Elephas maximus indicus: one gene and its partner. The protein of the gene in region 1 purifies or fractionates together with the protein of each later gene. This does not show direct contact. Links are inferred from orthologs where the notes say so. Each region holds a gene or a part of one and is shown in the gene's direction. Other genes may lie near its edges.

Region 1 (7,034 bases):
TGGGAAGCCTTCCCCAAATTCCACTGCTGCTGCTGTTGTAAGCTGCCTTCAAGGCAGCGCAAACTCATGACAACCCCATGTATAACTGAACGAAACATTGTCCAGTCCTGTGCCATCATCACAATTGTTGTTATCTTTGAACCCATCGTTGCAGCCACCATGTCAGTGTATCTCATAGAGGGGCTCCCTCTTTTTCCCTGAGCCTTTACTTTACCAAACACGATGTCCTTATCTTGCAATTGGTTTTTCCTGATGACGTGTGCAAAGTAAGCAAGACAAAGTCTCACCATCCTCTCTTCTAAGTAGCATTCTGGCTGTACTTCCAAGCCGGATCCGTTCATTTGTCTCGCAGTCCACAGTATATTCAGTATTTTTTGCCAATTCCACAATTCAAATGTGTCAATTCTCTTTTGATCTTCCTTTTTCATTGTTTAGCTTTTGCATGCATGTGAGACGACTGAAAAGACCACGGCTTGGGTCAGGTGCATCTTAGTCATAAAAACGACATCTTGGATTTTTTAACACTCTGCTGTTTTTGTGAGATGCTGTTGAGTTGATTTTGACTCATAGCAGCCCATGTGATGGAGCAGAACTACCCCATAGGGCTTTCTAGGGTGTAATCTTTATAGGAGCCAGGTTCGTATCCCACGGAGCCACTAACCTTTTGGTTAGCAGCTGAGCACTTAGCCACTGCACCACCAGGTCTCTCTTTTTTTGAACACTTTAAAGAGGTCTTTTGCAACAGACTTCCCCAACGCATTACATTATTTTATTTTTTGACCGCTGCTTTCATGGACATTAATTGTTGACCTAAGTAGAATGAAATTCTTACAACTTCAATTTCTTCACCATTTATCATGATGTTGTTTATTGGTTCAGTTATGAGGATTTTCGTTTTCTTTACGTTGAGGTGTAATCCATACTGAAGGTTGAGGTCTTTGATCTTCATCATTAAGCTATTCAAGTTCTCTTCACTTTCAGTAGGCAAAGTTGTGTCATCTGCGTCCTGCAGGTTGTTAATGAGTCTTCCTCCAATCCTGATGCCACATTCCCCGCAAGTCCCCAGGGCCACAGGTGGTGTTTTCCATAAATGGTCATAGCAATATTACCCATCGCATGTGCTATTCCAGAACCTAACCCCTCCCCAAGTTCTGGAGTTTACTTCTCCTCCTCTTGAACTAGAGAGGGACTCTGTAACTGCCTCTAGGGAAAGAATGCGATGGAAGTGACTGTGTGATCTCTGAGGCTAAGTCATAAAAGGTGATATGACTTTTGCCTGGCTCTCTGTCTTTGGACCCTTGTTCTTGGAACCCAGTTGCCATATTGGGAGGAAGCTCAAACTGCCTGGAGAGGTCACATGTCAGAGTTCCAGGCAATATCTCCAGCTAAGGTGTCAGCCTACACCTCACTTCTGAGTATGCAAACCTGCAGATAGGTCCAACTGCCAACCTCCAGCCACCCCAACTGACATCGAGGGGAGCAGGGATAAGCCATCCCTGCCAAGCCTGGCCAAACTGCAGATTACTGGTGAGCAAAATAAAATGGTGTTGTCATTTTTAAGCCTCTAAGTCTTGGATCCATCACCCATCTGTCAGTTCGTTATGCTGTGGTGGCTTGCATGTTGCTACTATACTGGAAGCTATGCCACCAGTATTTCAAATACCAGCAGGGTGACCCATGGGGGAGAGGTTTCAGTGGAGCTTCCAGACTAAGATAGACTACGAAGAAAGGCCTGGCAATCTACTGCCAAAAATTGGCCAATGAAAACCTTATGGAGCACAACAGAATATTATCCAATATATTGCTGGAAGATTAGCCCAAACATACCAACTATCATGAAGATGGCACAGGACTTGACAACATTTTGTTCTGTTATAATAAGGTCACTATGGCTTGGAGCAACAAAAAAACAAGTCTCAGGGCAGTTTGTTATGCAGACACAGTAGCTGGAACACACTTGTACCTTGTCTTTGAAGCATTTGTTATACTTGAAACTTCACATTTGTTTTTGTGATTATTTGATTCATATCTACCTATCCTAAAACACAGGAAGCTCTGTGAGGGCAAGAATAGTGTTACTTTTTGTCCACTATTATTGGGTATGGGACCTTCAAACCCTCACCAGATGACCTAATCAGAGTCCTTTGGCCTAGAACATTCCCTGGTAGTAAGGTTGGGAACTGAGTCTCTGTCTCAGTTTCTTCTTCTTTATCAGGGAATCTTCTTTCATGTTCTGGGTACCCAGTCTGCTTACTACTTAAGTGCGTGTGTCACATGGCATGTGGCTAGCTCCACTTTTATACCTGATCCCGGCAGGAGGGATGCATGCAGACCATCGTACCTATATCAGCTGCTACAGGGAGTGATCCATGGCCATGGAAGAATGACGCCTAATGTTGAAGCTGACCTTGCTCTGCCTCTTCTCTGTGTGAGTAAAGTGCTGTTCCACCCAATGCCTGTGTGTGAGTCATGTCTTTCTTGGTGACCCCGGGCCTTGTTTTAACAACCATTCTATACCTGACACCTAACACCACCTGGAAAATGATGCATACACCACCTATTTATTCTCAGCTTTCCTGCACCTCTTTACATACTAAAAGAAAAATAATATTTGGTCATTCATTGAATATTCACTCAGTAAATGCTTGTTGATGAAACTCTGTATCAGGCATTTGTGTTAGAGACAAAACACAAAATGAAGACGATGCACAAGGGACTGTGGGAGGCCAAAGGAGGGGTCAGAGGAAGCTTCCTGAGACAGGGGACATTTGAGATGTGTTTTGAAGGATGTGTAGGAGTTTTCTGGGTGACAAAGAGACAAAACATGACTCCTGGCAAAGGGAATGGTGTGTGCTGATGTATGGGGCCAGGAAGCAGCCTGGCTGGACAAAGAATTGTGGGAAGTTCTTCACACATAAAGTACAATTTGCTTGGGTGGAAAATTCTGCAAAAAAAAAAGTTGGTAGGGGCCAGATTCTGACGATGTTAAGGGGTAGGTGGTTTGATTTCATCTCAGGAAAAATAAGAAGACCTCACGGGTTTGGCAGCAGTGGTGGAAGGATCTTGGCTCTTGATAGAGATGGGGCTGGGAAAACCAATGAAGCTTCTGAACTGGTCCAGAGGGAGGTGATGGGACCAGGACAAGAGAAGTGAGGATAGGAGGAGTGGGACTAAGCCAAGGGCTATTTAGCAAACATTCACTGTACAGGGCCTTTTATTTGGATGCTGCGTGTCTTTATCCCACGGTCACACCAACCCTATAAAGCTGTTGTGTTAGTTGCTGTCAAGTCAACCCCAACTCATGGTGACCCCATACATGCAGAGAACTGCTCCATAGGGTTGTCAAGGTTGTGACCTTTCAGCAGCAGATCACCAGGCCTTTCTTCCGAGGAGCCTCTGGGTTGGTTTGAACCTCCAACGTTTTGGCTACTAGTCCAGCACTCAACCGTTTGCAGCACACAGGGATTGGCAAACTTCTTCCATAAAGGAACAGATGTTCAATATTTCAGTCTCTGCGGGTCTTAGGGCCTCTGTCGCAACTACTCAATTGTGAGTTGTAGCCACAGACGATGGGTAAATGAGCGGACATGGTAGTGTTCCAATAAAACTCTTATTTATGGATGCTGACATTTTAATTTTATAAAATTAAATTTTCATGTGCCATAAAATACACTTTTTCCTGAGATTTTTTTCCCCCAGCTATTTAAAAATGTAAAAACCACTCTTAGCTTGAGGGACGTACAGAACAGATGCTGGGTCTCGGTTTATTCACCTCGGCACCTCGGCACCTCGGCCATTAAGCGCTATTTCATGTTTAGGGGTACAACGCAGATTCCCCAACGAGAGCCCCGCCCCTCCTCGCAGCACTAGCCCTAGCCCCGGGGCGGAGCGTGCGCATGCGCGGCCGGAGCTCGGGCTGGGGGGGCGGGGCGGGCCGCTGCTCCGACTTCCAACATGGCGCACGCTGCTGGCGGTGGTGGCGGTGGCAGCGGCGGCGGTGGCCACCCCGCGGGCCGGGGGCTGAGCGGCGCCCGCTGGGGCCGTTCGGCCTCCGCGGGCCACGAGAAGCTGCCGGTGCACGTGAGTGGCGTCCGCCCTCCCTCGGGGACCCTGTTCTCCGGCCCCCGCAGGCCGGCGCCCCTCACCCCGGCCCCGCCCGGTCCTGGCCCCCGCCCCTTCTTGGCCTCCCCTCCGCGGCCCCGGACCCCGGAACCCCGACCTTTCATCTCAGCCCCGCACAGGTCCGGCCTGCCCACCTCCCGTCGGGGACTCCCGACTTCTGTCCCCTTCCTCCGCTGACCCTGGCCCCCCGGGACCCTCCGCTTCCCCGCAGGTGGAGGACGCCCTCACCTACCTGGACCAGGTGAAGATCCGCTTCGGCAGCGACCCTGCCACTTACAACGGTTTTCTGGAGATCATGAAGGAGTTCAAAAGCCAGAGGTACCCGCGGGGCCCCTCCCCACCCCCGAGGGCCGCGCTGGGCCCCGAACCGGGCTGATCAGGGTGAGAGACCCCTTCCCGGTTGCTGCCCCTCAGCTGAATGACCTTGAGCATGTCGTTGAACCTCTGTGAGCCTCCGTTTCTTGTTCTAATGTTGGGATGGATCGTACCCACCTTGTGGAACTGTGGTGGGGATTCTTGGAAGCAGGGCTGGAATTAGGGGAGATAAGGTCAGACAAATGCAAAGTTGGATCCTGCGTTTATTTAAAACGTTGGCTTTAAATAACTTTTGTTCCTTAAGGAATTTTTTTGCCTAAATTTTTTCTTGCAAGCATTGCATTACAGTGTTTTTCGTTTTGATGATTGAGTGCCCCTCCCCTTTAAATTTTGTATCCAAATTGAGTGCCTCCCTTGCCTCCCCTAGACCCTGTCCTGCTTGGAAATAATGTGCATAAAGCCTTTAGTGAGGGACCTGCCACAGGGAAAGTGTTTAAAGACATTAGCTCTTTTTCTAGGCAGAATCAGGAAGGTTTCAGATAAATGGGGAATCTCAGGATCTTGGCCTCAGGATCAGGGCTTGGAGTGGGCAAGGGGCTTGCCCACACGCACCTTAGGGACAGAGGCCAAGTTAGAACTCAGACCCCCCAACCCTTAAATTCTTGCTTGTCACAGGCCCACCTACATGCTCCACTCTCTTAGGAAATATGGCAGGGCTGGTTTTGAGGGTCCCTGGACGGCACAAACGGTTTGCACTTGACTGCACATCCAAAGTTTGGTGGTTCGAACTTACCCAGTGGCACAGTGGAAGAGAGGCCTGTCAGTCTGCTTCCATGAAGATTGTCGGTGGTGGTGTGAGGTGCTGTCAAGTTGATTTTGACATATAGTGATCCTGTGTGATGGTAGATCTGCTCCTGTAGGCTGTAATCTTCACAGGAGCAGATCGCCAGGTCTTTATTACAGTTAAGAAGACCCCATGGAGCAGTTTTGTTTTGTCACACATGGGGTCTCCATGAGTTGGAATTGACTCAGTGGCAATGAGTTTGGGTACCCCCCCCCCCCCGGTTTCCTTCTACGAAGTAGCGTCAGCCCTGTGCTGGGACTACAGTAATGACAAAGCCCCCCTTTCCCCTCTCATTTGTATGCATTCCTGATACTTGCAAGGTTTTGGGTGTTGATACATTGCAGTGAGTTGCTTGGATCAAAACCTGCGTCATGGGTGATCCTAACTCATACAAAGTGACAGACTTTATCACCTCGCGTGGAGGGGGTTGGCCTCTCGCCACCTCTTGGAGTCCAAGCCCTGCATTTAGAGCTTCTGACATTTTCAGGAGTTGCTAGGTGGTGCAAATGGTTAAATACTCAGCCAGTTACCAAAAGATAGGAGATTCACATCCATTCAAAGGCACCTTGGAAGGAAGCCCTGGAGCACAGCTCTACCCTGACACACATGGAGTTGCTGTGGGTTGGAGTCGACTTGATGGCAGCTGGTTCGGTGCCTTGGTTTTGACAGTTTTCGGAACTGAGCACACATTATTGAAGTATTTTGGGAGCCATGCTGGGGAAATATTCAGCGGTTCTCAGGAAGAGGGTGTGGGGAGCCCAGGCCTCGCTGCTCTGAACAGACATGGTTGTTGTTATTGTTGGGTGCTCTTGAGTCGATTCCAATTCTCAGCGACCACAGGTGATGGAGTAGAACTGTCAGAGTAGAAAACCATAGCGTTTTCTTGGCCATGGTCTTTACAGGAGCAGATCACCAGGCCTTTCTCCCGTGGAGCTGCTGGGCGGGTTTGAACCACCAACCACCTTTTGGTTAGCAGCCAAGCACTTAACCGTTGCGCCACCAATGCTCTTTCCTCGCTACTGTGGAAATAGATCACTGGCTGTAGAATCATGCAGCAGATGAGTATATTTTAGGTCGCTTTGTTGCCAGTCAGAAAGCTCCATTACGTGGTACTGTGGAGAGAGTCGGAAATAGGTTTTGCTTTTGATTTGTTCCCCAAGACCCTCTTGTCCACTTGTGTCCCTCTTTGTCCTAGCATCGACACTCCCGGGGTCATCAGACGTGTGTCTCAGCTCTTTCACGAGCACCCCGACCTCATCGTTGGATTCAACGCATTCCTCCCCCTGGGATACAGGATTGATATCCCCAAGAACGGCAAATTAAACATACAGTCACCACTGGCGAACCAGGTAGGCCGCCGCTGGGCGTCAGTTACCTGAATGGGTGTTTGCGCTGTGTGTCCTGGGACCTGGCCGGAGGGGGCAGGGCGGTATTTCTTTGCTGGAAGCCACGTGAGATCTGGTCTTTTTAAAGCCAGACTGCTGATTTCTGGCACGAATCAAACTAGATCAAAACGCCTCCACAGGCAGCCCCTGAATCCCAAGTGGGTCTGCCTGAAGAGTTTATATCACATGCGTCGAGGAAGCCTGCTCCTACCCCAGAATTTTCCTCGAAGTCAGAATAACTGCATCCTGTGATCTCACTTACACGAAATATCTAGGCTAGGCATAGGATATTGTTAGTTGCTGTCCAGTTGACTCTGACTCACAGTGACCCTTGTGTGTCAGAGTAGAGCTGCTGCGTAGGATTTTCA
Region 2 (7,848 bases), on another chromosome or scaffold:
TGATTATATCTATACCATCTATACCCATTAGATTGTTAAAAGAAAAAAAAAGGCATAAAAATACAAAATTGCAGGAAAAGATGGAACTCTCAGACACTGCTTGTAGAAGTGTAAAAAGTTAGGAACTATCTAGTAAAGTTGAAGCTATGCAATACCCCTCTGACTCAGCAACTGTTGTCATAAATATATATCCTACTGAAATGCACGCGCACACACAAACCCAAACCCGTTGCCATCGAATCTATTCCTACTATGTGAGCCACCCTATAGACATAGTAAAACTGCCCATAGGGTTTCCAAGGAGAGACTGGTGAATTGGAACTCCCGACCATTTTTTTTTTTTTGATTAGCAGCTAAGCTCTTAACCACTGAGCCACCAGGGTTCCACTGAACTGCAAGCACATGTATATCAGGGTACATGTACAAAAACTCCATGGCAACATTGCTTTCAATAGCCCTAAACTGAAACCAAGCCATATGTCCATCAATAATGTTTTTGTTGTTATTACCCATGTGTGACAAAGTAGAACTGCCCCACAGGAGTTTCCTAGGCTGTAATCTTTATGGGAGCAGATCGCCAGGTGTTTCCCTGGGAGCAGCTGGTGGGTTCAAACTGCTTTTTGGTTAACAGCCGACGGCTAACTGCTGTGACACCAGGGCTCCTTCCATCAACAATAGAATAGATAACAAAATTGTAGTTTATTCATACAATGGAATATTTACTATAATGAAAAGAGTTAGTTAAACTATATACAAGTATAGTCTTACAACCAGAGTGAATTAAGCCAAAGATATCAGAATACAGACTACATAGTTCTACTTATATAAAGTTCAAGAACAGGCAAAACTAAAAAAAATATTTTTAGGGGTAAATATGGTAAAATTATAATGAAAAGTGTCATAGTAAATACCATAGAATGATAGAAGGGAGAGGGGGTTTATGATGGGGGCCTTCTGGGCTGTCAATCAAGGCTGACTATGTAATTAAGGGGCCCAGTGAAAAATGAAAATGTGGGGCCTCTTGTTCAAAACGCAGGAGAAAAATTCTTTTTCCTCTCTTCCACAGTCTCTCTCTGGGCCTGTCATGATGTTTTCTTATCTTTTATTGATTCTTTTTAATGGACACAGGGTTTCTTACAGGTTGAATGCAGAGCTTTACGGGGGTCCAGAGCCCTGCTCTGTGACTCAGTGTGAGGGCAGGGGTGGGGAGGAGCCTGCTTACCAGACCAACACTCCTGGTGATGGTGCTTGTGGATCAGACCGATACTGGAGGGGAGGGTGGAGAAAAGCAGGGACGCTGTGGGAAGCTGACTGGTTCATCAGCTACCTGGAGTAATCTAGGGCTTCAAGCCCCAGCTCCTCCTCCAGTGTTCCATTAGACTTCATTTGTAAAACACAAACACAAAGATAAAATTATAAAGAAGTTCATGATAGTGATTGTAGAGATTAAACCCCAAGGGGGTGGGCAGTGCAGTACACAGGGAGAAGGGCCTTTCAGAGCGTGGGGCTCTGTTTGGCTGCACTGGTTGCAGGCCCATGAATCTGTTCCTCACTTGGACAGATCCTTTTCAAGCTCTGTACCTAATTTTGCCCCAGTGGTGCAGTGGTTAAGCGCTCAGCGAGAGGTGGGCAGTTGGAACCCACTAGCCCTCAGCAAAAGAAATATGTGGTGGTTGCTTCAGTAAAGATTACGGCCTTGGAAACCATATGGGGCAGTTCTACTCTGACCTATAGGATCGCTATGAGTTGGAATCGACTCCAGGACAGTGGGTACCTAATTTTGCATTGATAATTTTATATGCTTTTACTTAAAGAGGGCTCCTCAAATTATATAAGCTTGAGGTCCCCTAAAATCTGATTCCAACCTTGACTTGGAATTACACTTGAAGCAAGGAGTCCCCACCCTGCATATGAAATTTATAAAATAAATAATGAAATATGTTAATCATGAAAAATTTATTGAAGAGGTACTTTAAACCTGGTAGTAAGAATTTACATGTCACTTACTCTAGGAGTCCTTTCTACTTACCAGAGATTAATCATTCTCTCCTAGGTGCTATGTCTATACTTTTTCTCTAATTCTATGAAGGCCTGTATCATGCTCTTTTGAAACGTGCTTGTCAAGCCGTCTCCCCTAGTAACAGGTGAGCGCCAAAATGGCTAAGACCCTCTCCCAACTCTTTTTCTATCACCAGGGACTTAGAAAAGATCCTATTGTTGTTGCCTGCTGTGGAGTAACCCCATGCACAATGGGACAAAATGTTGTGCGGTCCTGGACCATCTCCACGATCGGTTATGGATCCGATCATTGTGATCAGTAGGGTTTTCACTGGCTAATTTTTCAGAAGTAGATCGCTAGGCCTTTCTACCCAGTCCATCTTAGTCTGAAAGTTCTGCTGAAACTTATGCAGCGTACTAGCAACGGGAAAGCCTCCGCTGCCAGATGTGTGATGGCTGCAGGAGGTCTTTGGTCACGAATCAAAGTGGGTCTCCCTCATGGAAGATGAGTTGTACCACTGAACCAGCGATACCACAGAAAAAAGATCCTAGTATGCAATATGCAATAAACGAGTGTTTAATTGGATATTTTAGAAAAAATACTGTATTGTGTATAAAGGAGGTATAGCCACAATTCTTGACTTTAGTAAAGTTCATGTAAAACTGATACATAACTAACCCATACATACATACGTGAACTGATTTGGTCACATTTTACAGAAGATAAATTACAAGCTTGTAAGAGCAAGAACTAAACAATACCATGAATTTTTTTTAAATGTGAATTATTTTTAAAATACATTATAAGGAAAAAGGTTAAAACCCAATATCCCACTATTATCTTTGCTATATATATATACTTACAAATACAGCAGAAATTGCCTTTAAGATTGTCTTACTTTCTTAGTGCTGTAACAAAAATACCACAAGTAGGTGGTTTTAACAAACAGAAGCTTATTTTCTCACAATTCCCAAACTAGGTTAGAAGTCCAAATCCAGGGCACCAGCTCTAGGGGAAGGCTGTCTTTTCTGGGGAAAAATCCTTGTCTCAGCTTCTCTAGTCTTGGTCCGTTGGTGATCTCCACATGGCATCTATCTTTCCTCCATGTATACTTGCTTGTCTCTGTGTCTGATCTGTTCTTTTTAAGACACACCCTACACTGACAGCAAAGAAAACCCTATTCCCAAATGTGACTACATCCACAGGTATAGAGTTAGGACCCCAACATGTATTTTGAGGGGGGACACAATTCAATCTGTAACAGTCATTCCCAGATACTATCCCTTGGTCTCCCTCCCAAGATGTGACCACCATCCTGAGCTGGGGTGTATCCATCCATTCATATGTCCTCCTTTTTACCATTTAAGAAAATATATCCATAAACAGTATGCTTTAATACTTTGAAAACAGTGTTGTCTAATAGAAGTACAATGTGACCAATATGTGTAATTTTAAATATTCTAGTAAACCCCACTGCTGTCGAGTAGCACATTAAAAAAAGAAATAGATCAAATTAATTTAATATATTTTATTTAACCAGTATATCAAAAAATATTATCATTTCAACATGTAATCAATGTAAAAATTATTAACGGACTATTCAATATTCTTTTTTTTTGTACCTAGTGTTTAAAATCCAGTGTGTATGACCTGACAGGGAACACAACAGAGAATCCCTGATGGAGCAGAAGAGCAGTGGGATGCAGACCTTAAATTCTGTAAAAAGACCAGACTTAATGGCCTGACTGAGACTAGAAGGACCCTGGAGGTCATGCCCCCAGAGCTTCCTGTTAGCCCAAGGCAGGAACCATTCCCTAAACCAACTCTTCAGACAGGGATTGGACTGGACTATAACATAGAAAATGATACTGGTGAGGAGTGAGCTTCTGGGCTCAAGCAGACACATGAGACTATGTGGGCAGCTCCTGTCTGGAGGGGAGATGAGAAGGCAGAGGGGGACAGAAGCTGGCTGAATGGACACTGGAATACAGGGTGGAGAGACAGAGTGTGCTGTCTCATTAGGGGGAGAGAAACTAGGAGTATATAGCAAGGTGTATATAAATTTTTGTATGAGAGACTGACTTGATTTCTAAACTTTCACTTACAAAAACTTATAGCACAACAAAAAGAAAAAAAAATCCAGCGTGTAGTGTAAACTTACAGCACATCTCAATTTAGATGCTATATTTAATTTTCTTAAAATTTAAGTTGAAAGGACACATTTATCTAAGTTCCAGAGATACTAAACATTTTTCCATTAACTGATTCGCGTCAGTATTTAAATTTAAATTAAGTTCGTTTTTCAGTCGCAATAACCACAAACCGCTCAATAGCTATATATGGTTAGTGGCTACCCTATTGGACAGTGCAGCTTAAAAAACACCAAGTGCTTATTCAGCATCTTCCTTTTTCCCACTCAGTTTATTTACTTTTTTTTTTCCTTTCCCATATCCTGGAACTGAAATACTACACATGAAAAGACGGCTTTGAATAACAACGTAGAGAGCATTTTCAAACATTTTTTAAAAATCGTCTTTCATTCAATGTAGTAAGTCTAAGAGAACTTTCAAAAAGAAGTCCTGTCTGAAATATTAAGTATTTTTATATAAACACTGGGATCGTTAGACAAGGCGTATCTGCTGATACAGGAAGCGCTGTAACGAAGTCACTGTAAAGCCGCAGCTTTCGTGTCAGCCCTCCCATCCTGTACCCCGCCCTCCGCATGCAGACGCGCACACACGCACGCACCCACATACACGCCCTTACACGCGCGCACGTGCACGCGCGCCGGGACGACCCAGGGATGTGGTTTCCATTTCCCCTCGCACTCCGGGGAGCTAACGCTGGCAAGTTCCTGAGGAGCCGGCCAGCCGCCTTGGCTTTGCCGTTGGTTTCACATTCTCTTAGACGCCGCCCTTTTCCGGATCCATCGGAGGAGAAATGGAAAGGATTGGAGGTGTCGGTGAAGAGCAGCCCTGCTACTGTCAGCTTGTCAGTGGCCCCACATCACGAAGCAGCTGACTTAGTGAGCCCCAAACCCAAACGTGTTCCTTGCAGGAATGTAGCAGGGTTTAGACACGGCCTTCAGTGAGGCATTTGTGAGGAGGACCGGTCAAGGGCGAGGGGTAGGGATGGGCGTTCTCCACCGAGCAGCAGATGCCCTGTTAATTGGGTGCGTGAATGGATGGGGCTGCTCTCCCCCGAGGGCCCGGAAAGCACCAGGACGCCCGAGTTCTCCTTGATTTAGGTTTCCCCATAAAGCGCGGTCACACCAAGAACTGTTGGCCACAGCGAGGAAAGCGGCCCCGAAACTCTGTTCCCTTCCCCACCCTCCCACAGGCTTACTCCTCCCGCCTCCGCTGTGCTTTGCCTCAAGAGTCGGCTGACCGCTTGGTCTGACGCGGGAGGTGTGATCAGTACACTGCCACACCACTGACTCCGCGAAATCCCAGGAGCTAACCACGGCCTAACTTCCCAGGAGAGACAAGTGCGGAGAAAACACCGTAACCGCCAATTACACGTCCCTGTTTACCCGGCGTTTCGAAAAACAAAAATAGAGTCCGAGAGCTTCCTCAGCCGGCCCGTCTCCGCGCGATGCATGCTGGGATAAGTAGTTCCTTCAACTCGCGAGGGACCCGGGCAGGGGCAGGGCGGAGCGCCGGTTGACTCCGCCGCAGAGAACTACAGTCCCCGTGGTGCTCCGCGGCAGAGTGGAGGGGGCGGGGAAGGAGGCGCGTCGCGCCTGCGCGGCTCCGGGGGCTGCAGGGAGGCGGAGGCGCGGCCGTCCAACTGCTGAAGACGGCATGTGACAGGGAACGGGATCGCCGCTCCAGGCGCCGCCCGCCTCTGAGTCCCGAACAAACAGTGTCCGCTGTCCCGGCGCCAGCAGACGCCAGCCGGCCCGGGACGCTCGGCCCTTGGCGGTGCCGCCGCCGGACACGGTGCCCAGTGAACTTCCCCGACACCCGGCCGGGCCCCCGCTGTCTCCCTAGCACCCCAGGAGGGAGGAGCAGCGGCCAGGCGGCCGAGGATTTCTGTCAGCGCCGGCGCCCCCGAGCGGGGAGACATGAACGGCTTCACCCCTGAGGAGATGAGCCGCGGCGGGGACGCGGCTGCCGCGGTGGCTGCCGTGGTGGCCGCCGCCGCCGCCGCCGCCGCCGCCTCGGCTGGGAACGGGGCCGGGGTGGGCGCTGGGGCTGAGGTGCCGGGCGCCGGGGCGGTGTCGGCGGCCGGGCCCCCGGGAGCGGCCGGGCCGGGCCCCGGGCAGCTGTGCTGTCTGCGGGAGGACGGCGAGCGGTGCAGCCGGGCGGCGGGCAACGCCAGCTTCAGCAAGAGGGTGCAGAAGAGCATCTCCCAGAAGAAGGTGAAGATCGAGCTGGACAAGAGCGTAAGTGCCGCGGGGGCGGCGGGCTGGGGGCCGTGCGGCGCGCGGGGCGGCGGGGCGGCTTGGTGACGGCGGGGCCGGTTGTGAGATCTCCGGCAGGAAGCGGGCGACACGGTGGCGGCGACGCCGACGGCCGCCCGGGACGCGCAGACGGCCGGCTGCACACGGGCACGCTGGCCGCGGGCCGCCGCCGCCCTCCGCGCGCCTCTCCCGCGCGCTCCCCGCCTCCTTCCTCTCGGGGCGGCCGGGAAGCCAGACAAAGGGCACCGGCGCTCCGGGCCCGGGAGGGGGCTCCGTGCGGCCCGGCAGCCCCTCCTGCCGTGGAGGCGCCTTTGTTTTGTCCCCAGAGCTGGCGTGGGGCCGGCGGAGCAGTTGCTCTCGTCTGGGGGAAGCGGGGTCGTGCAGGACTTTGCCCCACGCGCTAGGGCGATCCTGCTCGTTTCTGGGCTCCATGGCGTTCCCTGGAGCACCGGGGGGGGGGGGACCCGAGCCCCCCTCCCGCTCCCGCCGCCCAGCAGGGAAGCTGGGTGGGGAGCGTTTTCTGCTCCGAACGTGGGGAGCGCGTCGCCTCTCGGCTGTCCGTCCGCTGGGCAGCCATCAGGATTTCTGTTTCCCTTCTTTCTGCGCGTCTATTCTCGGGCCATCCGTGAGGTTTTTAGAAACAGCCATTGCCACTTTTCGGAGCTCTGGCTTGACGGTATATGGATAACAAGATGCCAGAACCTAGCCCACCTCCTTTATTTTTTTCAGTTGCACTTAGCAAGAGATTTAAAAGCCTATAGCTCCGTCCCTAATCGTTCTTTTTAAAGGAATGAACTGTCAATGTATGAAGCCCAGTATTTCAAATATTACTGTCCAGCTCTCAAGACTGTATGTAATTAAAGTTTTTGAAAAGTTAATTTGTGATACTTTCTGCCGGCTGAAACAGTTCTTCAAGTCGTGTTCATGAAAAACTTTTCAGGTGAATAGAAAAATTTCAGGTTGCTTTGATTGGAAAAACATTGTAGATAAATACGGTTCTTTTAAATACTCAGGAAGAAAAGTTTGTAATTGAAATTCATATATGGTTAGAATATGAAATGAGTAGCTCATTTGTAAAATGAATGTAGCTTTTGTATCTGAGATATAATTTGGATAAGTTAGAAAAAAAATCAGGAAGCATATACTAAAATATGCTATTTAAAAAGAGAAGATACTATCAAACAGATAATAAAATTGTGGACAACATCGTCTTTCCCCTTGTCAGTTAAAAATCCAGCAGTGAACTAACTAGTTAATTCAGTCCACCCTAGCTACAATTTGGTGACAAAACTCAGTGGGTTGGAATTTCTCATTCTTTCTCTGCCTCCCTCCCTTCACTGTCTGGCACCCCTCCCCCTCTGTCCTATTAGCTGTGGTTGTATTACCAAGTTTGTCAGGCTTCTAAGTTTTAGCAGGGTGGAAGAAGGGCCTACAGAAACAGTGT

What was found.
Region 2: the proteins of SIN3B (region 1) and SAP30 purify together in Homo sapiens (affinity purification with mass spectrometry; 4 studies listed by BioGRID and IntAct, with this or other methods). This does not show direct contact. The link is inferred for Elephas maximus indicus from reciprocal best matches to the Homo sapiens genes SIN3B and SAP30.

What each region holds. Positions count from the first base shown.
Region 1 is NC_064821.1:37,015,924-37,022,957, forward strand, and holds the start of SIN3B (paired amphipathic helix protein Sin3b), read left to right. Parts: upstream 1-3,940; 5' UTR 3,941-3,954; coding exon 3,955-4,080; intron 4,081-4,333; coding exon 4,334-4,440; intron 4,441-6,476; coding exon 6,477-6,630; intron 6,631-7,034.
Region 2 is NC_064839.1:69,620,306-69,628,153, forward strand, and holds the start of SAP30 (histone deacetylase complex subunit SAP30), read left to right. Parts: upstream 1-4,785; 5' UTR 4,786-5,024; exon of another isoform or gene 5,025-5,338; 5' UTR 5,339-6,065; coding exon 6,066-6,386; intron 6,387-7,848. UniProt on the Homo sapiens protein: Involved in the functional recruitment of the Sin3-histone deacetylase complex (HDAC) to a specific subset of N-CoR corepressor complexes. Capable of transcription repression by N-CoR.